7 linked regions of the Bombyx mori genome follow. The protein of the gene in region 4 purifies or fractionates together with the protein of the main gene of each other region. This does not show direct contact. Links are inferred from orthologs where the notes say so. Each region holds a gene or a part of one and is shown on either strand. Other genes may lie near its edges. The genes, in order: DDB1- and CUL4-associated factor 7, dynein axonemal assembly factor 10, telomerase Cajal body protein 1 homolog, chaperonin containing t-complex polypeptide 1 beta subunit, rptor, thioredoxin domain-containing protein 9 and viral IAP-associated factor homolog.

Evidence for each region.
Region 1: the proteins of chaperonin containing t-complex polypeptide 1 beta subunit (region 4) and DDB1- and CUL4-associated factor 7 purify together in Homo sapiens (affinity purification with mass spectrometry; 4 studies listed by BioGRID and IntAct, counting the BioPlex papers as one, with this or other methods). This does not show direct contact. The link is inferred for Bombyx mori from reciprocal best matches to the Homo sapiens genes CCT2 and DCAF7.
Region 2: the proteins of chaperonin containing t-complex polypeptide 1 beta subunit (region 4) and dynein axonemal assembly factor 10 purify together in Homo sapiens (affinity purification with mass spectrometry; 3 studies listed by BioGRID and IntAct, with this or other methods). This does not show direct contact. The link is inferred for Bombyx mori from reciprocal best matches to the Homo sapiens genes CCT2 and DNAAF10.
Region 3: the proteins of chaperonin containing t-complex polypeptide 1 beta subunit (region 4) and telomerase Cajal body protein 1 homolog purify together in Homo sapiens (co-immunoprecipitation; 3 studies listed by BioGRID and IntAct, with this or other methods). This does not show direct contact. The link is inferred for Bombyx mori from reciprocal best matches to the Homo sapiens genes CCT2 and WRAP53.
Region 5: the proteins of chaperonin containing t-complex polypeptide 1 beta subunit (region 4) and rptor purify together in Homo sapiens (affinity purification with mass spectrometry; 3 studies listed by BioGRID and IntAct, with this or other methods). This does not show direct contact. The link is inferred for Bombyx mori from reciprocal best matches to the Homo sapiens genes CCT2 and RPTOR.
Region 6: the proteins of chaperonin containing t-complex polypeptide 1 beta subunit (region 4) and thioredoxin domain-containing protein 9 purify together in Homo sapiens (co-immunoprecipitation; 3 studies listed by BioGRID and IntAct, counting the BioPlex papers as one, with this or other methods). This does not show direct contact. The link is inferred for Bombyx mori from reciprocal best matches to the Homo sapiens genes CCT2 and TXNDC9.
Region 7: the proteins of chaperonin containing t-complex polypeptide 1 beta subunit (region 4) and viral IAP-associated factor homolog purify together in Homo sapiens (co-immunoprecipitation; 3 studies listed by BioGRID and IntAct, with this or other methods). This does not show direct contact. The link is inferred for Bombyx mori from reciprocal best matches to the Homo sapiens genes CCT2 and PDCL3.

The regions. Positions count from the first base shown.
Region 1 is NC_085118.1:1,110,545-1,114,617, forward strand, and holds the start of DDB1- and CUL4-associated factor 7, read right to left. Parts: upstream 2,801-4,073; 5' UTR 2,570-2,800; intron 2,407-2,569; 5' UTR 2,386-2,406; coding exon 2,324-2,385; intron 1,909-2,323; coding exon 1,806-1,908; intron 1,007-1,805; coding exon 871-1,006; intron 353-870; coding exon 102-352; intron 1-101. UniProt on the Homo sapiens protein: Involved in craniofacial development. Acts upstream of the EDN1 pathway and is required for formation of the upper jaw equivalent, the palatoquadrate. The activity required for EDN1 pathway function differs between the first and second arches.
Region 2 is NC_085131.1:9,119,332-9,123,509, forward strand, and holds the start of dynein axonemal assembly factor 10, read right to left. Parts: upstream 2,801-4,178; 5' UTR 2,699-2,800; coding exon 2,415-2,698; intron 2,333-2,414; coding exon 2,205-2,332; intron 1,857-2,204; coding exon 1,639-1,856; intron 877-1,638; coding exon 754-876; intron 1-753. Other genes in the region: CXXC-type zinc finger protein 1, read left to right, coding at 4,108-4,134. UniProt on the Homo sapiens protein: Key assembly factor specifically required for the stability of axonemal dynein heavy chains in cytoplasm.
Region 3 is NC_085124.1:10,450,348-10,454,376, reverse strand, and holds the start of telomerase Cajal body protein 1 homolog, read right to left. Parts: upstream 2,801-4,029; 5' UTR 2,664-2,800; coding exon 2,227-2,663; intron 1,610-2,226; coding exon 1,421-1,609; intron 1,073-1,420; coding exon 912-1,072; intron 1-911. UniProt on the Homo sapiens protein: RNA chaperone that plays a key role in telomere maintenance and RNA localization to Cajal bodies. Specifically recognizes and binds the Cajal body box (CAB box) present in both small Cajal body RNAs (scaRNAs) and telomerase RNA template component (TERC).
Region 4 is NC_085119.1:8,627,060-8,629,797, forward strand, and holds part of chaperonin containing t-complex polypeptide 1 beta subunit, read right to left. Parts: intron 2,279-2,738; coding exon 2,104-2,278; intron 1,651-2,103; coding exon 1,473-1,650; intron 804-1,472; coding exon 600-803; intron 1-599. UniProt on the Homo sapiens protein: Component of the chaperonin-containing T-complex (TRiC), a molecular chaperone complex that assists the folding of actin, tubulin and other proteins upon ATP hydrolysis.
Region 5 is NC_085123.1:798,403-801,902, reverse strand, and holds part of rptor (regulatory-associated protein of TOR), read right to left. Parts: intron 3,372-3,500; coding exon 3,130-3,371; intron 2,940-3,129; coding exon 2,865-2,939; intron 2,624-2,864; coding exon 2,543-2,623; intron 2,445-2,542; coding exon 2,268-2,444; intron 1,615-2,267; coding exon 1,452-1,614; intron 1,228-1,451; coding exon 1,149-1,227; intron 803-1,148; coding exon 580-802; intron 67-579; coding exon 1-66. UniProt on the Homo sapiens protein: Component of the mechanistic target of rapamycin complex 1 (mTORC1), an evolutionarily conserved central nutrient sensor that stimulates anabolic reactions and macromolecule biosynthesis to promote cellular biomass generation and growth.
Region 6 is NC_085117.1:95,771-99,966, forward strand, and holds the start of thioredoxin domain-containing protein 9, read right to left. Parts: upstream 2,801-4,196; 5' UTR 2,610-2,800; intron 2,484-2,609; exon of another isoform or gene 2,156-2,483; intron 1,098-2,155; exon of another isoform or gene 1,087-1,097; 5' UTR 1,079-1,086; coding exon 1,005-1,078; intron 266-1,004; coding exon 166-265; intron 1-165. Other genes in the region: E3 ubiquitin-protein ligase RFWD3, read right to left, coding at 3,769-4,196. UniProt on the Homo sapiens protein: Significantly diminishes the chaperonin TCP1 complex ATPase activity, thus negatively impacts protein folding, including that of actin or tubulin.
Region 7 is NC_085131.1:763,685-767,854, reverse strand, and holds the start of viral IAP-associated factor homolog, read right to left. Parts: upstream 2,801-4,170; 5' UTR 2,651-2,800; coding exon 2,645-2,650; intron 2,561-2,644; coding exon 2,428-2,560; intron 1,481-2,427; coding exon 1,252-1,480; intron 1,077-1,251; coding exon 868-1,076; intron 344-867; coding exon 231-343; 3' UTR 1-230. UniProt on the Homo sapiens protein: Acts as a chaperone for the angiogenic VEGF receptor KDR/VEGFR2, increasing its abundance by inhibiting its ubiquitination and degradation.

The sequences.
Region 1 (4,073 bases), on a different chromosome or scaffold from region 4:
GAAAATTTTTTGAAGACACCAATAATCTTCAGATAATCATTAACATAAATTTTGGACACAAATGAATTAACAAGATCTTCTATTAAATAAAAATCACAAACCTTATCATGAGCGATCAACTGAGTCTTCACGTGCCCAGACACTTCATTGACCCTGCCCAAGACCTGTCCAGTCTCCAAGCCCCAGATGGTGCAGGTCGTGTCAATACTACTGGTGCCAATGAGGTTAGGATCCACTTCGTTCCAATCAAAGGATGTAAGAGGAGCACAGAAGTCAGAATTCTTATTATTATTTAGGACACATTCGAATAATGTGTACGGCTCTCCGGCACGCCATATGCGTAGATAATCACCTGCAACATAAGGCACCATTGTGAAATTTTATTGAATAGTTTTACTTGAATTTGATTATTTATCAAAACTGTTTATGTCAACGAAAGTTGCCTCTATTAACATCACAATCATTCATATTGTACTCATAGGGTATCACTTATTTTTATTTATGTAGATTGATTATTATTGTTTGCATGAGTGTACCAGGCTCACCACAAACCGGGAGGAGTAGCGATTGCTTGTGAGGCGCATAACATCTGCCCTCAGCAATGATGCTGAATGACGACCACAACCGCTCTGACAAGAGTGATATGACGACAAAGGAGATAGACAGGCTCAGTTAAGTACAATTCAGTGGTTTATGGAGCTCAAAGACTATCATGAATACTGTTTCTCTAGAGAGAGATGATATTGTAAGCATTATTTTTGGGAGTATATGTTTTTGTCTATGTAGCAGTGTAAAAGTAAATTCAAGCCTCATTATCTCCATATTAAATATGGTAATCTTAGTGCTAACAAACTGCTACCGAAGTCTTACCGCTAGTTGCCAACAAGTCTGGATACACCCCCTTGCTATCAGGTATCCACATAATCTTGGTGGTCGGGTACGGGTGATCAAAGGTACTTTTTGCAGTGAACTCACTTGTGTCTTCATCAAGGGAAATTATTTGTACCTAGGATTTAAGAGTTTTATTAAGCTTATGTCATGCACAAGGAATGCTACAATACAGTATGTGTGTTAAATGAAACCATTAATATATTAGTTTTCACTAAAAATCCTTCAATGTAGTGAAAACTAATAAATTCATTTATATTAGGTAATATAAAACAATTTTTGGCAGACCCCTTTTTAAAATGAACTGATACCTCAAAACCCCATACCCAAATTATTTAAAAAACCCTATCCCTAGTTCTTTTCCTATTCATACAACATACTCACCAATTAAAACCTTTGCGGTCAAGTTATTGTGTGTCTAAGTGGGTTATATATCTTGGGAACTCCTGGTTTACTTACTATATGTTTGTATATTATGCTAAACAATTAACTAATTAGTAGTATGTAGTTGAGTTTTTACTAATTTAATGGTGGAATTAAGTAAGTAATATTATGCACCAATAATTACTTAGAATTTTTTTTTTCTTGCTGTATTTGTCTACTTGGTCTATAAGAACAGCCTCCACAAACTAAGTGCTCCTACCAATTCTGTCAACTACTGAAAAATGAACAACAACAAAAATATGTAATTTATTGTGTATTTTCTTTGGTAATATTATGCATTTATAGATTATAAGGCACACACCTCTATCTTTTATAATTCAATGAGTGGGAAATTTTTGACAAATTGACTTCCCTAAAATTGCATTAGCTTTGCATGATTCATTATCTGGGCCTTTATACTGTATTTACTTAATCCTGTTGGTATGTTTTGTAAATTACTAAATTAATATAATAACTGCTCTGTAAAAGCTTACTTTATTGTTGTATTCCTCAACAAAACTGCCCAGGGCTAACCTGAATCTCTTGTCAGGTCTGACAGACCAATTCATTGAGTATAATGGCCATGGCGCTTGGTATCTGTAAAAGATGTGTGACATAGAAATGCAGCTGTCTAGCTTATAGTGTTTTTTTTTTATCACAACTTCGTTTATGAGAATTTAACCTAACTGTATGAACAACTCAAATTTCGTACGTAATTATCAAGATAAGGCTGTTTTTGCAATTTGTTAACATCACTTTAGTTCTTTTCGGGAATTGTGAAAGGATTATCTGTATATTTCAAAACATCTAAAGCATTAAATTAGTAAGTCCCATAATGCCTGCTTGATTGTATTACAAATGTTTCGAAACATAGGAATGGGTACAGAAATAAATAACACGCTATACCTAATTATAATTAGCAATCTCAAAATTGGGTCAACTCTGTATTTTATACTGTCAATTATTTCCAATCTGTTATTTATAGTTCATATTGTGTTGTAACGTTACTTACTTGTATATTTCTTTACGTTTCGTGCCTGAACTGGTACTCGAACTGCTGTGTGGCATCGACATCACTGATAATGTTTAATGTTTCTGAAAACACAAATCAAAATGATATTTATATGAAATTTTAATGAATAGTGACTTTTTTATTTTTTTTGTCTTTCAAGTACGTAAGTTTTCATACCTTTCAAGTTATATTTTTTAGATTTTTACATATGGTTTTAAATTTACAAAAAATATATATTTTATGTACCTTTGCCGTAATATCACAGAATGGCCACCAAGCGGCTTTGTTATGTTTGATTTAAATATACCTATTTAAATATTGAACTGTCCATGAGCTTCTGTACCTTCAATTAATGTATTTTATAATTGGAAATTAACTAAAAACTTAGTTTTGTGTGGAGAAAACAAGCATGAAGCATTATTTTTACAAAATTTGACAACTGGCAAGTAGGACAATCTGACATTTTAATTTTTTTTCGTTTCGTTTTTTGACTAGGCAACGGGAATTTAGCATCTGCGAGTAAACCTCATCACTACATAGTATAAAACAAAGTCGCTTTCTCTGTCCCTATATCCCTATGTATACTTAAATCTTTAAAACTACGCAACGGATTTTGATGCGCTTTTTTTAATAGATAGAGATTGAAGAGGAAGGTTTATATGTATAATAACATCCATTAAATAGTGGAGAAATCAATAATCAATTACAGTTTCTGAAGCAAGGGCGGGTCCCTACTTTAGTATATGTCGAATCTCTGTTAGTTGTTAAAAAAGTGTAATGAAAATTATTTTATGAATGAAAATGAAATAATTTAAAAATAAATTAAATTGGCTGCAATAAGACGAAATTGGATTTGAAGACATATGCCTGGTAAAAATTCAATAATGAGTAAGCTACCTATTCGAAACTGAATGAGTAGTAAAACCAGGCTATGTATAGAAAGTTAAATAAACGACAATATCCACAGATGTCCACTGTTGAACAAAGGCCCCCCCAAAGCCTCGACACAACGACCGGTCCTACACTGTCTGCATTCGGCGGATTCCCGCTATATTTAACAGGTAGCTGGTCTGCCTTGTGGGAGCTCCACCCAAGCTACATCTTTACACAGTCGCCACTCGAAAGCGTTTCAGCCATAGTGGCCATCTGTTCTACGAGCAATGCTCTGCCCACTTCAATCTCACAATTCCTTCGGCTATGTCAGTTATTACGGTTTTCCTGCGAATTTCCATATTCCTGATCTGATATCGTAGGTAAAAAGGTTCTAAATTTCTTACGTTTTCTATTATTGTGTATAATATTTTTTTATTGCCTAGATACCTGGGCAGTCTCAGTTTCTTAATTAAAAATTAAGGACAGACTTATTAGTTTGTATAACTTTTTAACTCATAACTATGTTAAAGATTATTATAGATACTTAAAGTGCCCGAATTTAATTAATAGCAATAAAGTACACTGGCAATGTAAAACTTTTTATTAGGCGCTTTGTTCGAATGCCATGACGTTTCGAAGAGCGTCTGTCTGCTCGCCTGAGTTGTGTGTTCCCCATTTCGTGGTAACTAGAAACCAGATGCAATAGAAAACGGAACGTGATTACATGATAACAATCTTCAAAAATGAAAACGAAGGCCCCAATTAATTTTTTATAGCCTAAATCTGTAATAAACTAAAACTAAATTTTAAAATAAAGAAACAAAACAGTTAAAATATAACATATTATGACTGCTTTGTCCCATAATGATCCACGTGA
Region 2 (4,178 bases), on a different chromosome or scaffold from region 4:
CTTAGATGTGTGGACGAGCTCACAGCCCACCTGGTGTTAAGTGGTTACTGGAGCCCATAGACATCTACAACGTAAATGCGCCACACACCTTGAGATATAGTTCTAAGGTCTCAGTATTAGTCACAACGGCTGCCCCACCCTTCAAACCGAAACGCATTACTGCTTCACGGCAGAAATAGGCGGGGCGGTGGTACCTACCCGTGCGGACTCACAAGAGGTCCTACCACCAGTAATTACGCAAATTATAATTTTGCGGGTTTGATTTTTATAGCACGATGTTATTCCTTCACCGTGGAAGTCAATCGTGAACATTTGTTGAGTACGTATTTCATTAGAAAAATTGGTACCCGCCTGCGAGATTCGAACACCGGTGCATCGCTCGATACGAATGCACCGGACGTCTTATCCTTTAGGCCACGACGACTTTTAAATTAACTGATGTAACTATAGATTGTGCTTTTAATATATTAAGGTCCATGGATTCTGATGAATAGAGATACAGCCCATCTATTGCTGAGATAACAGACACTGCAATGTGAAGAATTCTGCCAAATACATAGAGTAGATAAACTTTCAAAGAAATTGGAACAACAGCTGTACTATAGTATACACCAGAACATGTGATTTAATGGTGGTAAAAATAGATAAGGCAGGGGTAGGAAAATTCAAATTTAACAATGCTCTGCATTGCATGCAATCTTCATATTTATTTCTCAAAGACATTCCTTGCTGGTCAGTAAAACATTAGGTTACCTGAGCAAATCCTTTAGTTGGATTTTGAGTCCTCACATCAAAAACATGAAACTTCCCTTCAAGTGTGGTTGCCACTAATTTATTCATTGGAATATCTTTACGATCGAATTCTAAGGAACATACCTAAACAAACAAAAATTCTTCAATATTTATCTATTAATTTTGACTTAGATATAATTTAATATATATATATATATATATTTTTTTTTTTATTGCTTACGTGGGTGGATGAGCTCACAGGCCACCTGGTGTTAAGTGGTTACTGGAGCCCATAGACATTTATAATGCAAATGCGCCACCCACCTTGAGATATAAGTTCTAAGGTCTCTGTATAGTTACAACGGCTGCCCCACCCTTCAAGCCGAAACGCATTACTGCTTCACGTCAGAAATAGGCGGGGTAGTGGTACCTACCTGTGCGGACTCACATGAGGTCCTACCACCAGTTATATAAATATATATCTCTATTGCAAAACAACCTATCAAGCTAATTTAGGATATATCATAAACTACAAAGAATTAAAACACACACAGATAATAACAAGTCATTGTTCATCAGAGTACCAGTTGAGATAATGATAAAAATTTCGAGATTAACTGAATTTATTTACTTCAATTGTGTTGATGTTTTCTTAAATAATTACTCACATTAAAATTAAAATGAACTCCCTCCCCCACTACTGTGACTTTTTGAAAAATATAACACATCTTTCTTAGGACAAGATTAAAGTGAATAACTACTGCTACTATACAACTAGTAATGACCCTGTATTTACTGATGTTAACAGGTTTCAGTAACAACTTTTTATCATGCATGTTGTATAATATGCCTATTGCGAGTTGTGACATAAAAATCTTAAATTTAGTCTTGAAATTACATACTTACTCCATTCTTCAAATTACATTCCCACCTAAGTGACATTGTTCTCAAATCAAACATTTTAAGATCTCCATTGTCATAACCAGCAACTACAATCCTTTCAGAATCATTAAATGAGTTTCCGAAGCCAACAGCCCAGCAATCCCTTCTAGTCTCACCTTGCATTGGTTGCATGTTTGCAACAGGTTTACCTCTTTGCCTTGGATCCCAAACCTTTACTGTTCCTATAATTTCAGTAATTATTATGTTATCACTACCATTTTTATTTTTCCTAAAGAGTTTTAAACCCAATGTCTGTTTCTCTGATTACTTATTCTAAATGACTTAACAAATTTTGATACTATTTTCAAAGATATAAATAGAAGTGTGAGAAAGGTTTGTGTATAAAATTTGTAAATATTTTGGACAAAATCAAAATCTGATGAGGATAAAAAAAAAACTATCCCAGTATGTCAACATGGCTAATGGTAGTCAAATCTTAGAAGGTATTGTAATATTGATTTAGAAAATCTACTCATCACCACACGAGTACCCTTTAATGTAACAGGATAATCCTTGGCATGAAACCTTACCATCTCTACTGCCAGTTACAATTTCAGGAGCTCCACAGTTGGTTGTGTTACCTCCCATCCCATCTATTGAGTTAATTATATCTGAATGTTCTTTTGTTATGTACACTTGGGAACCTTTTTCTAAGTCCCTATAGAAAATAAATTATTTATTAACATTCGATTTTTATGATTATCCGGAAAAAGTATGGATTTTATGATTTTGTTACAAACCATACTTCCAAAGTGCCTCTAAAGTCTCCAGTAGCAAATCGTCTCTCAATGTCGCTACTTGCTCCAAACGTTCCACATTTAAACGAGTTAGACCTCTCAATTTCTTTTATTTTCTTAATTTCTCCGGCGTTTATTTCAAATATTTCAATGGTACCCGAGCCTTTCGGTAAAGAACCAAGTACTATAAATTTAGCCGAACATGGTATCCACTTGCAATCAAATAGTGAATGGTTTAAGTTATTTTCAATATGGGTAATTATTTGGGGGGTATTCAATTCTTCCATGACTTAAAAATAGATATAAAAGAAATATTCAAAGGTTTATGCGAATCTTTAGCGAAAACAAACGTGACAGACAGCATTGGTTTTTGGTTGCTAGGCAACAGCATCATAGGCCACATAATATTGCTTTTTTTAAAAGATTTTATGACTTGGTAACTAAGACTTTTAGGTCATGTCTTATTTTAATTAGTATTCTTATTTTTATGAAAAATTATAAATATTATGGAGTGAATGAAGATGATTAGGTAATTTGAGACATTAATCAACTGGGATGAAATTAAATGAATTGAAATGAGATGATGTGGGATGAAATATCAGTAAAATGGTGGTGGTCATTCATTTACTGAGATTTTTTCAGCGGACTTGTTGGAGGATCCCGAGAAGTTACGTCCAGCGGCTTTGTTTCATTTTCCCAGATTTGTCCACTTTCACATATATTAAACTGTTAATAAACCACCGTTATTACACATTTAAACCTGAAGAAACACTAAATAGACAAAATAAAACAAATCACACAATTTCACTTCTTGCGTTCCCGCCAAAAAGTCCATATAATATTTTACGCAAGTCTCAAAAAATATTAAATTTTCAACCCAGCACACTTCACTCTGCTTAAGCCTCCCATGTTCCTATCATTTCCATTTCCTAGACTAGCGCTAATTTAGTTATTCTTTTTTATAAAGCCTTGATGGGGGACTAACTCACAGTCCACTTGGCGTTAAGTGGTAACGGCAGCCCGTAGATCTACAACGTAAATGCCGCCACCCACCTCGAGACATGAGTTGTAAGGAACAATACAGCAGCTGCCCCACCCTTCAAACCGAAACGCATTACTATTTCACGGCAAAAATAGGCAGGATGGTGGTACCTACCCGTTCGGACTCATAAGACGTACTACCACCAGTAATCTTCTAACATTTTTCAGCTTCTCCCCTACTCAAGATGGTGCTCCTTACTTCTTTCTACCCTTCATAAGTTTTAGAGACACTAAAAGGTTAATACTTGAATTATCATTTCAAATTTTAACCTGATTAAAACCTCTGAAAAATCTTTCTTCTTTTTTAAATCACTTTCCGTCCTTCAGTTCGATTTTTTGTTACAATAGACTTGGCATTATGGGCCCTTTTTGTCTTTGGAACAGACCATTCAATCAAATTCTCAACTTTGATTATCCCATGTGTCAAACGACAATTTTATAGCTTGGAAAATTGTGGCCAAACTTTATATTTCAATAACTTTCTAAAAATATGAGGAAATGAAAAGAAAATTGAAAAAAAAATTACGAGTCTAAAGAATGAATGAAGTTATTTATTTGAAAAAAGAATAAAATTTGTTAAATAAAAAATAAAAACTTCCTTGGGTGCTAGCAGTTGTTAGTGTCATTGAATCGGTTTTGAAATAAAGGGAATACAATGGGTGATAAAAAGTCGAGACAATCTGTAAGTGTTAGTGAAATGTAAATCCTATAGAAATCAAATGTATC
Region 3 (4,029 bases), on a different chromosome or scaffold from region 4:
ATTCCCGATAGGACTCTGTCGCGTATTATAAAACAAGACCTGAAGCTCGCAGGATATACCCTAAATCAATCTTTATAATTAAAGTGATTGGATAAATGAAAATGCCTTTTGATGCGATATGCAGGTGAAAGGCACAGAAATATTCTCTTTACTGATGAAAAAAATTTCACTATTGAAGAACACTGCAATAAACAAAATGATAAAGTGTACACTCACAGTTCTAAAGAAGCTGCTGAAATGGTAGGAAAGGTACAAAGTGGTCATCATCCTGCATCAGTGATGGTTTGGTGGGGCGTGTCTTATCAAGGAATCACAAGCTATATTTTTGTGAAAAAGAAAGTGAAAACTTCAGTCAATGTGTATCATTGTCCATGTATCCATGTCTTGGATTATGCTGTAAAACCTCTCAGCAATACACTTTTTAAAAATATACTGTGGACTGGCCCGCATGTCTCTGCACCTGGTCACAAGGCAGGAACTACCCAAGCCTGGCTTGAAACCAATGTTCCAGACTTTGTAAGAGCTGAAGTCCAGCCTCACCGAGCCCAGACCTCAACCATTAGACTTGAAATTATGGTCAGTTTTAGAGAACATGGCCTGCTCTAAGCGATACAGCGACATTGAGTCTTAAAAAACCTTTGGAGCAAGCAGTGAAATTTCCCTTGGAAACAGTGCGCAAATTCATAGTTTCATGGCCAAACAGATTAAAGGCCTGTATAAAAGCCAAAGGTGGCCATTTCAAGTAGAATATTTTTCTTTATTTTTTGCTGACTTCATTTCTTTTTACTTCATTAAAAAAAAAACATTTTCATTTGAAACAGAACTTATGGCTGGATTAGGTATATATAGGTATTGGGTATATATATAACAATATGTAACAAACGTTACACCAATTATTCAGTGCTATTTACCTCCATGTCCATACATGTCCCCAATTTTCTTAGTACCAATTTCTGATTCATTATACAAAGTTATTGTTGTATTCCAAGAACCAACAGCAACTAAGTTATTTTGTGTTGAAATGCTAGATGCTGAACTAGAAATCTTTTGCTCAGTAAATTCTCTGCCAGGCCTAAAAAATTTACTGATTAATATACAAGCAAATAAAATAGACCTAGAACTCAGGCAGGATTGCAACAATTATGTTGTTGAAGTCTATGAGCTCTAGTAATCACTTAAAACCTAGTTGTATACCAATCAAAGAAATAAAAAAATTGTCTATCTTGAGCACATTACTAACTTAATGAGTATATTAAAAGATTTTACTTCCATACAACAAATTCTCTTTATATTAGTATAGATACGATAAAAGCTTCCTGCCTTGATATAAAGTAGTTATTAGCAAGTCTAAGCTTTGCTTAAATACCCACACTGAGCATGAAATTAAAGTTTTAAGATAAATTTGATAATGAAGAATTACCGCTCAACATCAAAAATTCTTAAATGCTTCTTATAGCCAGCAATGATTTTTCTACCATCTGAGGTAAAGCTAACTGATAAAGCTGGTTCCATTTCATCTACTGCATTGAATCCTCTGTATGAACATCTGAGTGATCCATCAAATGCATCCCACATTTGTATGGGAGAATTTTGTTTTGTTGTTAACCAGCTGTCAATAAAATTATTGAGTTACATGAAAGTTAGGCATTTCTTAAGAAATCTATTTCAGCTCCTTATTTTAAAGGAAGAGAAATTATGTTTACTGACAAACTAAAATTGATATTTTATCATAATCTCAGCCTGTCCACTGCTGAACATAGGCCTCTCCTACTGATGTCCACTATGTCATCAGCCCATCTGGTACACGGCACACTGCACTTGACAGTACGTGGTCTCCATTTAAGGATTTTTCTGCCCCATCGGCTGTCAATCTTCGTACTATATGGCATTCCCACTGCCGCTTCAGCTTGCTAATCCTAGGGCTATGTAACAAGTTTGGCTCTTCTATGGATCTCCTCATTTCTGATTCGATCTCATAAAGAAATACCAAACATAGCCCTCTCTATAGGTTGCTGTGTGACACTAAGCTTCTTAAAAAGTTCCCTTGTGAAACACCATATCTCAGAACCGTACGTCATCACTGGTAAAACACATTGGTTGTACACCTTTGTCATAAGGCACTGAGCATTTTTTTAATTTTTAGATTGGTTGATATTTAAGTAACGATATTTTATATTTACATCAATTCCATTGTAGACCAAATATTGAGTTTTAAATCTCACTCACCAACAGGAAGGGGGATTTGTGCTGTTCATGAATGGGTACCAACAGAAGTCGTAAACTGAACCTGTTTCTTTTAAATGTATCACTGATTCTAAGACATCGATTATACGATCGCCACAAACAACGCCCTGGTACAATTCACTAGGAAGCTCGGTAACATGAACACCATCGTTATTGACAACACTTAAGCAACAGGTTCCATCTGGGGACCACTTACATCCACGTAAATAAGGCTGTATATTCTCATTAGCATTACGACCCCTTGACCACGAGCAAGTGGACAATTCAAGAAAGCTTTTGCTTGTAAATAATGCTGGATATTGAAAAGCGTTTTCTGTACACGCCGAACCCAATGTAAGTTCACTCGGATTTTGAGTTATGGTTTGAGGTATATTTTCAGCGTTTATTCTTGATGGTGTCTCCATTGACCAATTTTCCATAATAAAGGTAGATCACAACACAATTTGTGATTATGTATAACAAATTGACAATTATTCCGCTCACGGTTTCAAAATAAAAACAAAATCGTCGTTCGTCAATCGACCTTACCGCCTTACTTTTTTTTAAGGGATTTTATGACCTGGTAACTAAGATCTTTAGGTCATGTCTTATATTAATTTATAATATTCTTATTTTTATGAAAAATGATAATTATATGGAGTGAAATGAAATGAAATGAGATGATATGGGATGAAATATAATCTCGAGATCGGGAATGATCAATCACAAGAACGGTCGTACATACATAACAACATAATTTTTTTTTGGGGCCGGGGGCTGAACCTCCCATGAGGTTCCCCCGCCTAGGGGGCACGCAGGGTATATGAGACTTGACGATCTGCAGATGTTGGAAGCAGACCGTAGGTCCAAAATTATTTAAGGACCCTACCGCACTAAACGACTCCCCTGCCCCTTATACGGTTGCTCTTCCACAGTATGTTCGACGACGACAGCGACGACGGCAATGCGGACCGCATCGCGGACCGCTTCCGAAGATGCGTCGTCACATGCCAGCACGCTACAGTGACAATAGCGTGTGGCGCAACCTCGACTACCTCAGGTCGCCCCGTGAACATCACCGGGAGGAGACTGCTTCTTCACAGGGGTTGGAGCTGGACGAACACCCTCCTCCAATTCCCGGCTCGGTGGCGGTGGCCCGGCGCCGAGAGGAAAGAAGAGCTCTCTCTCCCCGTTCCGCCGCCTCCTTCTGCATGATGGTGGACTCACAGAAGTCGAGCATCGCCTGCCAGGGCTCGTCGCTGCCGCACATAGTCCGGACCTATTTTTGCAACGAGGGTGCGGCGCTGCTTCGCGAAAGCGGGGCAGTATGCGAACGTGTGCTCCGCCGTGACACCACAACTATACATTAACCCACAGACACAACCCTTGAGTTTCTCACCGGATCTTATCAGTAGGTCGCGATTCTGATCCGGCAATAAATTCAATAAAGCACTACTCTTGCTACAGTAGATGTTAGCAAAGTCTCTCAGGCAGGTTAGCACGGAGATTTTATTATATGTTTTATGTATTTAAATTCAGATCTCACACAACTAAAGGCGCTGTGGCGTGGCTTGTTTTATTTTAAAATATCATCAAAATTCACTCAATGGTTGTACACGTCACGCTTCAATTAATTCAAAATAAATTAACTGAAATGCAGTCAAAAAAGTTACTTTGGAAAGTATATTATCTCGCAATTTTTATTATCTTCGTTCAAGGACGGTAGGTATAACCTTTATTCATTATTGATCAAATTAGTACATTGATGAAAGTGAAATATATTTTTATAAAGTATTTTCAGTGATT
Region 4 (2,738 bases):
GGGGCGTTAATGATGAGAATCTTTGTGGGGGTGAGAAATAATACTGTTAATTTTAAATGGTATTTCTATATAAAATTAGAATACGTGACAATTCGTTGTGTGAATGTGGTTTGGACGACAGCAGTATAGATCACATTTTCCTCAATTGTCGCTTGAACAACTCATTCATATGAGACCAAGTTATTAGCGAACTGAAAATTCAACGGCCGGTAAATGTCCGCCACAACCTCTCACTGTTCCCAGATCCCCGTATTATAAGTGCTTTTATTAAGTTTTTAACTACTAACTCTATAAAATTATAATGATATGTAGTGCATTACTCTCTGTACATAATCTTTATTATAATATGTAAGTTTATAGTAACATTAATTTTGTGTTAGTCCCAGGCACCATTATTATTGCCAAAATTGGATACTTTTCATAATAAAAAGTGTGTTTAAATAGCTCGACAATGTTCCATGTGTAGCCATAACACGACACTGGCAGAAATTGCTGAAAGTATCGGCAGATTGCCATTAAAAAATATATAATAATAATAATAATTTTAAGTGCTCAGTGAAGCGGACGGGTACAGCTAGTACAATATGAAATTAGAGTACCTAATCCCATAGTGTTTTCTCCTCGAGAATGATGAGCTCTGAGTCGAGCAATGAGATCAGCACTGTCGTAGCCAGCATTGTCGGCGACAGCGGACGGCAGTCTCCGGAGCGCGACTGCAAAGGCTTCGGCTGCTGCGGCTTCCTTCCCGGCTGTGCGAGCGCCGGCGCGGGAAGCTGCTTCTGCCATTAGCATTTCACCAGCCCCTACATGCAAAAAATGCTTTGACATATGGATTTTATTTCCAGTATAGATAATAGGGTGTTCAGTCCAGACAGTCGAAGTTGATCAGTGACTGCGACAGTCCATCTGCGAGTCTTTGTAAAAAAATATATTTGTAAATTTATGACACCCTTTATCCCAACTAAAAGAGATTAACGCATCATTTTGCTATAACAAATATTACAGTTATATACTGTCTTCTTAGTCGTTACACTCTTGACATATAGCAATGGAGGATGCAAATTTGATGCGCCTCACCATATCCCACCATCACACTAGGTACACATTATTGTGTTTTAATTAATCACACATCGCACCTTTAGAATTATAGAGACCTAACCCAAAAAATGTGTTTTTTGTAAAACGTTGAATAAAGTTTTCAAACGGAATAGACATAAGAGGAGGATGATGTGAAAGAGACCTATGGATAAGTTTGTCCCTTTATAAGCTACTTTCGGTCATTTGATTAAAAAGAGCAGCTGATGATGGGTCGTTCTAGGTCAATTTTTTAATTAAAGTCGAAATAAAAAATTTCAAAATGGGTCTGTATAATTCTAAAAGTGCGATATATTTTGTGTAAATGTCATGTAAAATGCAAAAGTAAAATATATTAAACATAGTTTTATTTTAGTCTTTTATTAAGTAATTCATACCTCCTCCACATATGACCTTCGGTTCTTTTACAGTAGCAGCAAGCACGCAAAGCGCATCATGGAGTGAACGCTCAGCTTCGTCGATAACTTGTTGCGTGGCACCACGGATTACGATCGTGCAAGCCGAGCCCAACGCTACACCAGAGAAGCGGATCAAGCTCTCATCACCAATCAGAACCTGTGAGTGGTCACCGATTATAAATATGTTACTTTATAAATAGCTACCTAATATTATGATTTATTTTTGATATATTTGGGTGACAGAAAACAACATCACACCACAAACATTGCCAATTAAGTAGTTACTACAGCAAAAACTCAATTGAACCAAACAAAAAAACTTTATCCTTAAAAGATTGGGATATGTACTTGAATAGGTTGTAAAAAAACTCAAACAGAACAGTGAAACCACAAATGCACTTTTTAGTAGATATTTAAAATGTCTACTTTGAGTATGTGCTTCAATTGATATTGATAAGCAAGTTATGCACCAGAAGATTGATAAAAAAGTTAAAAAACCATGCTTGAGGAACATCGGTATAGCAACAGATCAAAAGACAAATTTTCTGCATTGACAGCAAATCTCTTATTGAGAAGAGGTTTTCTTATGATTTAAAATATGTCATTTTACCTCTTCGATCAATTTGCAGTGACCAAGTTTCACTTTGTCTGGTGAGTCAAATGTTGACACAATTTCCCCTCCAGTGACCAAGCCAAGCCTTTCGATACCTTCGAAATCAGCATGCTCAATTGCCATTACTCCAGCATCAGCAAACAACTGCTCTGGGTAGTTGTATATAAGTTGTCTGAAAATTAAAATTACCATAATAAGATACCCTCTTAGGCTTCCAAACACAAAAATTTCAAGAGATTAATTTAATATAAGCATATTTATGCTTATTTCAGATGCTATGCAGTTAATTTGTTTTATTTTACTTAAATATTGTTTTAATCATATCTGCATTAACATTATGTATCAACGAAGCGCTGGGGTCGTTAGTTTGACTTCACCTATTGAAGAAACAAGCAAAGTCATGTTATAGTTTAGTCAATAAACATTTAAATACGTTGGAATATATACTCTGGGTCACGAGATCTTTTTTGAAAGAAATAAATTATTATGATTTGTTATTTAATAATGAATTAGCACATGTGTTGGGTAACAAATCAATTCATTGTGTGTCTTTATGTAACCCCCACTTAGCAATTACTTTATTAAAAGGAGAACAATTACCCTCACTAATACACTACATAAATAGAAAGATA
Region 5 (3,500 bases), on a different chromosome or scaffold from region 4:
CCCGGGCGAGGGCGGCAGGCTGGCGGAGTTCCGCGCGGGTTCCGCCACGCTGTCCACTTGGGCGCTCTGTTGACAATTCTAATTTTATAAAACTCATTTATCATTATATTTGTCCGCAAAGAATTCCGAAAAAAAAAAAATTCGATTAAAACAAAAAAAAAATCAGATTCTTACTTTGTTCCACCTTAACAAATAGGTTAATTTTAATTTTAATTTATGATCACATAATAATAATTATTTTTTTATAGCCCTTGTAGTGTTGGCAGACGAGAGTACGGCTCACCTGATGGTGAATGGTTACCATCACCCGTAGACTTCAGCAATGCCAGGGGTAAAGCCATGCCGCTGCCTACTATTTCTTTGTTGCACAGTTATTATATGTAAGCTCTATGTAGGCGGTGTACGTTAGCTTATCGACTCTATACTTCAGTGTTTGGTTGTTTATGCTACAGTATGTAGATATATGTCATTAAGATCAGGGTCCGTCCCCCATGTGTTTTTTTGCCATTTGCTTCATTGCTACATTATAAGACTGCACCGTATTAATTTTATGGCAAACGTCTGGAGCGAGAGGCTGACCTGGTTCGAGATGTAATTGAGGATGTCAGTGGCCATCTGCGCGACCCTGGGGTGCGGCTCCCGGGCCATGGCGCACAGCGTGGAGAACAGCCGGACCGGCACGGAGCCGAACCCGATGGCCGGCAGCGAGTAGTGGGGGGGCCGGGACCGACCTCCCGCCGCGCCCCCGCCGCCCCCCGCCAGCGCCTCCTGCCCCGCCTCCACGCGCCCGGACGGGCCACCCCTGTGCATATTAGGTATTTAGGTGAATTGGGTTATTAAGTGGTACATTTTTGAAATAAGTTTTAATTTTACCTGGTGGTAGGCCTTCTTGTGAGTCCGCTCGGGTAGGTACCACCACCCTGCCTATTTCTGCCGTGAAGCAGTAATGCGTTTCAGTTTGAAGGGCGGGGCAGCCGTTGTTACTATACTGAGACCTTACTTATATCTCAAGGTGGGTGGCGCATTTACGTTGTTGATGTCTTTGGGCTCCAGTAACTATTTAACAACCAGCTGGGTTGTGAGTTCGTCCACCCAGATAAGCAATAAAAAAATATAAAAAATTGTGCAATCTTCATATTAATTCTTACCTATCATTTCTTCTGACCCGTTCTTGTATGTAAACAGCGATGAAGTGTTGTTCAAATATTAACACCAGCCACTGTAATGCTGTAAAAAATAATTATTATTATAAAACTGTAGACTCAAACCTCTTCAAATCAAATAGAGAAGTTCTATTTGATTTAGAAATCTATACTAATATTATAAAGAGGAAAGATTTGTTTGTTTGTATTGAATAAGCTCCGGAACTACTGAATCGATTTGGAAAATTCTTTCACTGTTTGTAAGTTATACTATTCCCGAGTGACATAGGCAGACACGCGGGTACGTACCGGCCAGTATCTCTGCGCGCACGAGCGGGCTGGCGTCGAGCGGCAGGCGCGCGGCCAGCTGCACGCCCACCTGCAGGTCCAGCGCGTTGGCCTGCTCGCAGCGCCCGGCGCCGCCGCACCACCACACGAACGAGCCCAGCGCGAAGGCGCACGCCGCGCGGACCTGCCGCCGCAACATCGTCACATCAACTATTCTTTTTTTTTATTGCTTAAATGGGTGGACGAACTCACAGCCCAGCTGGTTGTTAAGTGGTTACTGGAGCCTATAGACATCTACAACGTAAATGCGCCACCCACCTTGAGATATGAGTTCTAAGGTTTCAAGTATAGTTACAATGGCTGCTCCACCCTTCAAACCGAAACGCATTACTGCTTCACAACAGAAATAGGCAGGGCGGTGGTACTTACTACCACCAGTAAATAAAACCAGTAATTACCACCAATAAAGTTCTTTTAAAACTTAATAAAGCCCCTTAATAAAACTTAATAAAAAAATAAAAATAAACTAATAGAAGGTAAAGAGAAATCGCTTACAGAGTCGAAAATGTTGCTGACAAACGAGCACGACTTGTAAAGCGTACAAAAGCACGTCGCGAGTTAGTACGCTTTACATTACAGGCCGACGAATATGAATATAAGCAAGCAATACTAGGACCCCGTCACAGTAGCACTGAAACTATTCATGTGATGTTTATAAGCCTTGTCAACCTTGTTCGTCACGTGGGCCGTGGGCTCGTCTACCCGGGCACACAATAGTGTAGGAGCATGGACAGCTGCTCCGTGACGGCCCCCTCGAGGGGGGTAACGTATCAGTACCTCAGGCTCAGAATGCTCAAGGAGCGGGAACAGTTTCTCGTGCGCGAGATCTCTGACTCCCGTCCATCGCGCCGCCTCGAACCCGCGCCACAGCCGGCCCAGGCTGATGCAGATCCACTGGGCCAGTACCGGCTCCCTGTCGCCGAGCTGCTCGAGGCATATCGATATCATTGAGCCCTGCCAATCGAAATTTTCATTTAGTTTCATTTCTTACGTACGTCTTGCAGCAGCTGACCGTAGATACACAACACATGCGATGCGGTCCGAGGGCTCACCTGCAGCGCGGCCTCCTGCCCCGCCGGGTAGCCGTCCACGATGCCAGCCAGCACGTAGGCGGCCAGGGTGCGGTGCTCGCTCTGCAGAAACGGAACTATTTCAATGGAAGATGATCCTGATTGAATGCTACGTGCATGGCCCTAGTGTCGCAGGCTATAAGATTGAAACAATTGGAAAGTGTAGTCCACGGGCTCTGATAGACAATCAATCCCATATGAACTATAAGCTCGTCTATCAATTTAGTGTATAGTGTACTTTTCAATCCCATTGTCTTGCGTACCCTCCCCCCCGCGCGGCGTGCACCTTGCTGCGGGTACTTACGTCGACTGTAGGGTCTTGCAGTACGGACAGGAAGTACGTGTGCCCTTTAGCGTTGACTAGGTCCGCTTGACAGCTCTGAAACAATTAATGATTAATTAAGTACAATTAAGAAATACCATTTCGTTTCGTTCTGCACTCAAAATATGTGTAAAAGCATTAATACCGTTTAATTTGCATTTACACTATTTGATTCGCTGAAATTGCCAGCACTTGTTTTTTTGGCCGAGGGAATATAAAATGAACGAAATGTATAAGTAATACAAACCGGATCGACCGCGATGATCCTGGCCCAGATGTAGACCATGGAGGCGCGCAGCACCGGCGCGGAGGCCTGCAGCAGCTTGAGCATGTAGGGGAATATCCCGACGGCCAGCATGGCGCGCACCGCCCACGCGCCCAGCGCCAGGAACCGGCACAGCAGCTGCAGCGCGCGCACCCGGTGCAGCGTGCTCAGCAGCACCTGCAGCACCATCGGCAGCTGCTCCGGCACGCCGCGCCCGCCGCACCCTGCAGCGCACTCTCCCTCACTCTCTCTCTCGCTCCCTCTCCCTCCCTCCCCTAAACTACACTATACCAGTCATAGACAACGGCCTGGCTATTGCTGACCATGAGCACCGGTAACCACTCACCATCAAG
Region 6 (4,196 bases), on a different chromosome or scaffold from region 4:
TACTATTTAATACGAAACGATATTTTGTGATAGATTTTAATTTCGAGAACGGTTGCCTCTTATTTTACCAGAAACGTCAATTTAAAACAATACTCTCACGGAAATGGACACACTCTGTAGAAAACACGAATAAATACAAAATAGTTTTGTGCTGGCAACACTCACAATGGCCAACCACTCTTGTTTCTGCTTTGCTCTTAATTTCATTTCAGCTATGCGTTGTTGTCTGATCGCCTCTAGATCCCCACTTTCCAGAGCGTCTAATCTGTAATATGTAGAGATACTTAGAAAAGAATTTACTGGTGGTAGAACCTCTTGTGAGTCCGCACGGGTAGTTACCACCACCCCGCCTATTTCTGCCGTGAAGCAGTAATGCGTTTCGGTTTGAAGGGTGGGGCAGCCGTTGTAACTATACTGAGACCTTAGAACTTATATATCAAGGTGGGTGGCGGCATTTACGTTGTAGATGTCCATGGGCTCCAGTAACCACTAAACACCAGGTGGGCTGTGAGCTCGTCCACCCATCAAAACAATAAAAAATAAAAATAAAAGCCCTCTGGAGACCTGCTACATCCTGGACCAGCTGTCGCTCCCAGAGTACCTCCCAGGTAGGCCAGGTAGTATGGCCGGGCTCCCGCGATATCACGGGGTCGCATCACTCAACTATCAACTCAATTAAATAACATTATTTTCGTCTAAATTGTTCAATAATCCCGTATTTAGCTTTTGTTAGTGATATATTCTAGTCGGTAATTAAATTTATTGTCATTTGTCATTAACACGTGCAATAGTTAGCGATAAGATTTGTAAAATATATTATTAATATGCTTCTTAATAATACTAATAATCTGTTCTTATTTATTACTTAGATGAGTGGACGAGTTCTCGGCCCATCTTATCTTAAATGGTTACCAAAGCCCATAGGCATCTACAACGTAAATGCTGCCACCTACCTTGAGCTATATGTTCTAACATCTCAGTTTTTACAGTACCATTTTATTTACCTTTCGATTTCACTGTCAATCTGTCTCTCTACATTCTGGGCAACATGCTGCAGCAACTGGTCGACGTTCGCCATTGTGATTACTGAAAAAAAGCTTATAACATTTAAATATAAACAAATTTAGTAGGCACAATTTAATATACTATGATAAAAAATCACATTGCCTATACTTAGTATTCCGTGAAAGAACAAAAATGATAAATATTTAAACGAGCTAAAGTTCAATAATAACGAAACGGTTTTAATCAAAGACACATGTATTGACAGTTCTAAGAATCGATATCATAAAATATCATTCAGTACTCGCTAGTATCAATTATATACCTAGTAGTAGTGAAAAAGTCTTTAAGGCATAGAATGTTACACTTTGTTTCGCTTTGCTCTTTAAATTTCATCTTCAATGTTGCCACACTCTACCCTATGGCTCTAGGACGTGAATGATTTTTCCTGAGTGTTCAATTTAAAGGAACTGATTGTTTTATTTTTTGTCTGCTCTTACTACACCCAAGTGTACTACACCCAATTCCAAAATTGTTTGTTACGCTCCGTAACATAAATGGCGTTTCTATTTCTACAAATAAATGACTGTCACTTAGAGTTTGTAATAAAACTATTATAGAATATATACAGTCTGACCTATTAAATATTTTCTTAATTTTTCAATAACTACATTAATACAATCACTGTCAATTTTACCAGTGCAAAAACTACCCCAAAATTTTTCAAACATCCACAATAACGTACAACATATCTGAAATACTTTCATTCTTCATTTGTTGTGTGCAAAGAAAACATTACCAAAAAAAAAACGATTTTGAATTGATATTTTAATAATTTTTTGGCGTAGTGCTGCTATTTATGAGCACTCATTCCCTTTACTCTCAGTTTTACAACTAATCATTGTATTTTGTTAGGTTTTAGCGAGGTATTGATAAAATTAAAATTAATTTTAAGACCATGTGGATATCGTTGTTTACGTTATTTTAAACATTTCAATATTATAAACTCTAAACCTTCTTATATTGTCAAATTTATGTTTAAGTGCCACACAATTACAGTCAGGTATCTACATTATTGTAGAGATTGTTTTACAATTATTTTCTAGCACTCTTACTAGAGAGAGTAAGCAGTTAACATGGCCAAGTTGCTTACCTAACCATATTGTGGATGGTGCTTCCCTTCAGACAATCAGTTGGAGTAAATATAGACCAATAGTTTTAGTAATTAGCACCAGAGAGATGGGATGTAAGCGGTTACCGTTGCTTATTAATCTTTAGAAATTATAATTTAGATACGAGAGTAAATGCGCACTACAGAATTTAATATTAAGCTGCTATGGTGAGCAAACTGGTTTAATTATCTAAAAGAGACGTGACCACGCGTGGGCCGTGGGCCCGGCACGGACGTAGACCGGCCGCATCAGGGGCTTAGAACCGCTGAGAAAAAAGGTATATAGAATGAAACTCTGGTATGACGCAAAAGAAAGGAATTTTTGAATGAAAACCGAAAATAAAAAAAATCATTTTACTTTTTTTAAAACCTAATCAATGGTGGTGACCTCATTCGCGCACACGGTACATTTCTCACAAATAATACTGTTACTTACGTTTTTACGATGATTTGTACTGGTTCAAATAATGAGTTTTATAAAAATGTTACTTAATTAACGTCTTTAATGTGGTAAATTTAAGAATTTCTTTTCAAAAAAACAGACTTTCGTATTGGAAACTTAGAAACAAAAGTGGACCTACTGTTTATTTTCAGTTTTGAGTTTTGACAAGTTTCAATCGACAGTTGACAATATTGATTTTGACAGTGAAATCAAAGTCCAGAAAAGGCTTATGACTACAAAGGCCAAGCCAAGAAGATATTTAGCAAAAAAAAGTCTGGTTCCCACAGTTAATGCAGTATGCTATCCTAAGTAAAAATCTAAATTGGGCGAAGCCTGTATCGGGTCTGATCTGCAGGTCGGAAGGATCCGAAGGAGATTGACTGGTGAATTTTTCACAAAATGCCTATCTATTTTACTGGATACCAGTACATGAACTGCCGATCGACCTGGTGCGAAGATCCTTTCTTTTAAAGCCTAATCTTAAGAAAGAATGTTCCATATTTACTATTTGAATATATAAAGCATTATTTATTGTCAAAGACAAAAATTAACTAGCTATTTACCTTGTTAAGAGTATTCAAATTGAATACCATTAATATAGCAAAATTCTATAATTAATATCGTGGTTAATACACTTAATATTAATATAATTCTTTCATCTAATTAGTTTTCTTGACATTTTAAACAATCGCGTCTTTGATTTTGGTAAACATACCATAACTCAGTTTTCTGAAACCACCTGCCTCATGCACCATGCACCACGTTCAAACTTGAGGCTCTGTGGGTAAGAACTTCAGCTCTATAATATGGGTGTACAAAGAGAAACATAACACAGTATCAAGGTTTAAATTTTACTTTCTCAACACAATTAATATTTACAAAACATTTTAAATATAAATTATATTACAAAGTCTAAAATATCATTTAAGAATTATTATATTTATACAAATCAAAGTACTTAGCGCGTTGTTATAAGCAAGTGACCATAGACGCTGCATGCTGAAGTCACAGCTTCGGGAGCAAAAGAGACAACAAGCACTCAATTTAATTTTTCATGACTCTTGTCAAAAATGACAGCTGTCAAGACAATTTGAACGCTACAACGTCGTCAAGCAATATAAAAGTTACATTAATATGGAATGGTGTAATCGTGTCACGTATTGGTGGGGACCGCCTTGTACAGCCTGAGTCGGGACTCTGACAGAGCCGCCAGTATATTGCTTCCGTTCGTCTCGACCGAGCACACGTCCAGCGCGGGCTCCGACGCGGGCAGGGACATGGTCCGCGTGCCGTCGACGCCGTGCAAATAAAGCGCTGAATCGCTTTCAGAATGAGCGGCGACCCACGCAGAGCTCGCTAACCTCACCCAGGCCACTTTGGACATCAACGAGGACCTGAGCGACCCCGAGAATGTTTCTACCACGTCACAAATAACTTCGCCGTTCGGTATGCTCGGTTTCAATTTACAGACGCTCAACTTAGATCTTTCTAGACCATTCGAACTCGGTCTGGACGCTATGACGGCGCGTTGGGACGCGTTATCATAGGCCAGAGACATGAACGATCCTTCCACGGGCAAGA
Region 7 (4,170 bases), on a different chromosome or scaffold from region 4:
GTATATACGCCATTACTATAGATTTTTTTTTACAACGGGGTCCTATATAACAACACAAGTTCACTTGATAATGATGCTCATTTAGCACAAACCTTAATATATTAATTTAATACAGTTCACATAAGAAGCTTTTGATAAGTAAAGCGACAGAATACAGTTTAAAAAAAAAACATACTGTTAGATGTAACATAAAATATAAATTAACTTTAACATAAATTAATATTCTAAAATCACCAGTCATTACTTCCAAGGTCAGTAAACAACTTGTCTTTGATCTTTGGTCGGGGATCTTCTGTTATGCTCGTTTCGACAGCTCCAACCTTACCGAGTATGTATTCGAGTTCTGGAAATTCAAATACATTTATTTTATTACTTTCCACTAGCTCATCTCAATTTGACTATAATCACTAATATCTCACGGTTCAGACTCATTTTATTCATTATATTTTCATTTTTGTCTATTTTTCAATGTCAATATAATTTAATTCATACATAACTCTATAACAACCACTACAAAAGTGAATTGATTCACAAAGTTCACATAGAACTATTGGCCATGCTATATAAGGTATCAAGCTATCAATTACCATCATTTAAAAATTGATTTATTCACAGCTACTTCAACTACAATACACTGTATTGAAGTTCACTCTTGGTGGCAAAACGGATGCTTCTCAATGGAGACTCACATGTTATACTGCTACTGACTAAATTACTACTACTGTATTAAATTTGCTATTGGTGAGAAGCAAGCCTTGTGGTGCTATTGTTATATGATAACAATCACTAATAGTAATCCTTACTAAAAATGTAACCAATTATAATTAAATTAAAAAAAAACTATAAAAATCAATTCTCATAGCTTACCATCACAAGTCAAACTGGTGCCCCTTAGTTCGTGGGACCCCACAAACTGCTGCTTCATTTCGCCCTCAAAGTAAACAAATAAACTAGGCAGATTCCTCTCTGGGAAGTTTGGGATGCAAGTCTGAGCAATGGCTTTCAAGAATTTTGTGTAGGGAAACTTGACTGCTAATTCTCGTAGATGTTGATTTATTAGTGCACATTGTTGTATTCTGAAATTTTTTGATTTATATGATTGATAATAATCATTGGAGCAGTCTGCAGATAAAGGGTCATAATGGCCCAATGACATAAAAAGTCAGTGCTAGGTTATCTAGAGGAAAAAAACTACATACATTGATATTGGTTTATCTAATGTCTTTATATCTTATTCATCGTTCCACTCACCCCTGTTTGTACAAATGAATGACCACCCAAATGTCTTGACCAGCCTTGTTAACCTCCTGCACATAATCTTGACCAGAGACTTCTCGCACTTCTCCGAATCTAGGCTTCTCAGACAGCTTCTTAATTTCTGCTAATCGTTTCCTGCGGTACTCTTCTATAACAGCCTCATCTTCTGAATCTTCAAGTTCGTCCAATCCATCAAGGTCTAACTCAGATAATTGTTTTTGTTCTGTGAATAAGTAAAAATTGTTATTATTGGAGACCATCACAGTCAGTCCAGTTAATTATGTAGTTTATAGTGTTCAAAACACTTGCCAAGGGTGGCTTGAACTCTCGTCCTCAGCATACAACTATCTACGATGGTGTTTTGGCTGATGTTAAAAAAAGTGTCCCTATCAACTGAACTGGCGTTCTACCAATGAAATGAACTCATTAACTATCCTATCAATTCTCTGCACCCAATAGGTGATGATTACTACATTTTTGAGGGAGTCACTTCTTAAATTCGTAGGGTTAATTGTTCAGTATGTCAGAATGGAAAACAAAACACAAAGTTAATTGTAAATTCATAGCTGAACATTTATAATTATAATAATACAGAGTGTGACTAACATTTTGTCAGATCTTTAAGAAAAATATTTCTTTAAACATTAGTAGTGTCTTAACATGTCTTGTTATTCCTGAATATTTTCAATTTAGTTTATATATAAATTCAAGCAAATGTATTTTGATGTAACAAATAATCACCAAAAAATTCATAATTGGTGAATATTCATTATCTATGCCAGTACAAAAATGAATGCGTCCCACTTAACTGTACTTACTAGAGCTAATTTAGGTGATGAGTCTCGCTTGGCTGAACATTTCATAAGGTGTTGGATGCAAAGAATTTTTTTAACAAAATGATTGAATTGCAGAAAGAAAACTATTAATTTGGTGACTGTTTAATTCCAGGATTCATTTAGTGTACTGGTGATGCATATCAATTATAAACTAGACTAGTCTAAAGGAATGTATAATGAATAATGAAATTATAGGTACTTAAACCAAAAAGTTTCGAAGTTCATTACGTTCAGTGTTTCCGGGTAATGATTCACTGTTGATTACTGATGAGCCAATACATATTGCATTTACATCGTAGAGCTTAACCTCAAAAATTCGTATTTGTTGACCTACTTTCAGCTTCCTTTTGCTGTATTGTGTCCTCTATCATGTTCACAATATCGGCCTCCGAAAACTCCGCTTCTTTCTGCGGTATAATACCCATCTTTCGAAGGGTATCGTTCCATTCTGTATCTTCATTGGGGTTCTAAAAATAAACAACAAAATAAAATTAAACTTTTCACTTTAATGTACTGCACATCATTTTACTGATAAGTTCCATTTATTATACCTGCATTTTATTAAATTAACAATTAAAATTCTAATAGTTGAAATACATAAACTTGCTCCAGCTTTTCAGGAAATTTGACACCAGATATTTTTTCCATAGACTTAACATTGAGACAGGCAAAGGAAACTTTGTCATGAAATATGTAGAACAATAGGTACCATGACATGGGGTAAATTGGGATCCTGGGGTAAATTGGGACAAACCTGCGGAAGATTCTCAAAGTACCTGTAGCACGGAATTTACCTAATTTTGTTTAAGTTAATATTTATCAATGTATAGAAGAAAAACCAAGTTAACTATGGAAGTACTAAATATGAGTTAAGTTGGTCCCAAAAATTCGTCAAATTAAATTGAAAATAGTGGTTGAAAAGTGAGTTTTAAAACAGCTTAAAGAACTTTTAAAAAAAGTAATATTATCGTTGTTTTTTCAATAAGATCACAGTTTATATAAGTTTTTAATACACCTGGAAATACCACAACAAACGGTAAGTTGCAATATTCTTATTTTAAATACAATATTTCGACAAAATAAAAAATGTATATTTTTTCCTTTCTTTTTGGGGAAAATTGGGACGTATGTAGGGTAATTGGGAACGAGACTGGAAAAATTAGGGACGAGAAAACACAAAATTGGAACGCCAAAAGACAAAATAGGGATGGCTTGTTAGGGTTGTCACTGATATCTTATAATAGATTTTTTAGCCTATACTATCACTTAATTGCGTGATGTAAAGAAGGTTAATGTGTTTATCAGTTAGTTTATGTAAGTATTATAGGTAAAAGAAAAGTATATATATAATTACTTTTTTTCGCGACATTTACCTTGTAATATCTGCCCGGTCGTATGTTCTTTATAGCAATAAAAAAAATTAAAAGTTAAAAGAACTCAAACGAATCAAAACTTTTGTTATTTCAGAATCTATTCACGCATCGAATCATGATTTTGTTAACATTCAAAACGCACACACAAATAAAAACAGGCCTCAGATTTTAAATGTAACATTAATTAAAAATCCGATATATCCAATTATGAGTGAGTGAATTAATTGAGTTTAGTTATTTAGCTTAGAAAGAATTTCTTTTATTTTTGTTATTATTGGCAGTAATCAGATAAAGCTGTTTTTTTATCTTATTCACCTGATATCTTACTCTTGCTCAAAGATTATTTTGAAAATGTTGATTAAATAAAATTGTATTATTGCATTTCCAGTCCTTTTGTTTTCTATTTTTTATTCTATTTTATCAATTTGTTTCAGAGTTGTGATTTTTAAGGAAATTAAATAATAATTTTCTAAAATATAACATGCACATACTTTTTTTGATCATTGTATTGTTGATTATCATTCACGTCACATCGCTTCGGAATAGAAACCAGCTTAATTTACACTATGTTGTGTATTGTGCTTAAATTATGGATTGTATTCATCATTTCGGTCCATATAAATAATTATATGGCACCTACCTATATATCGCAGTACTGCGAGTTGACAACCCTTACAAATATCCCAATTTAACCCTTAACCGTG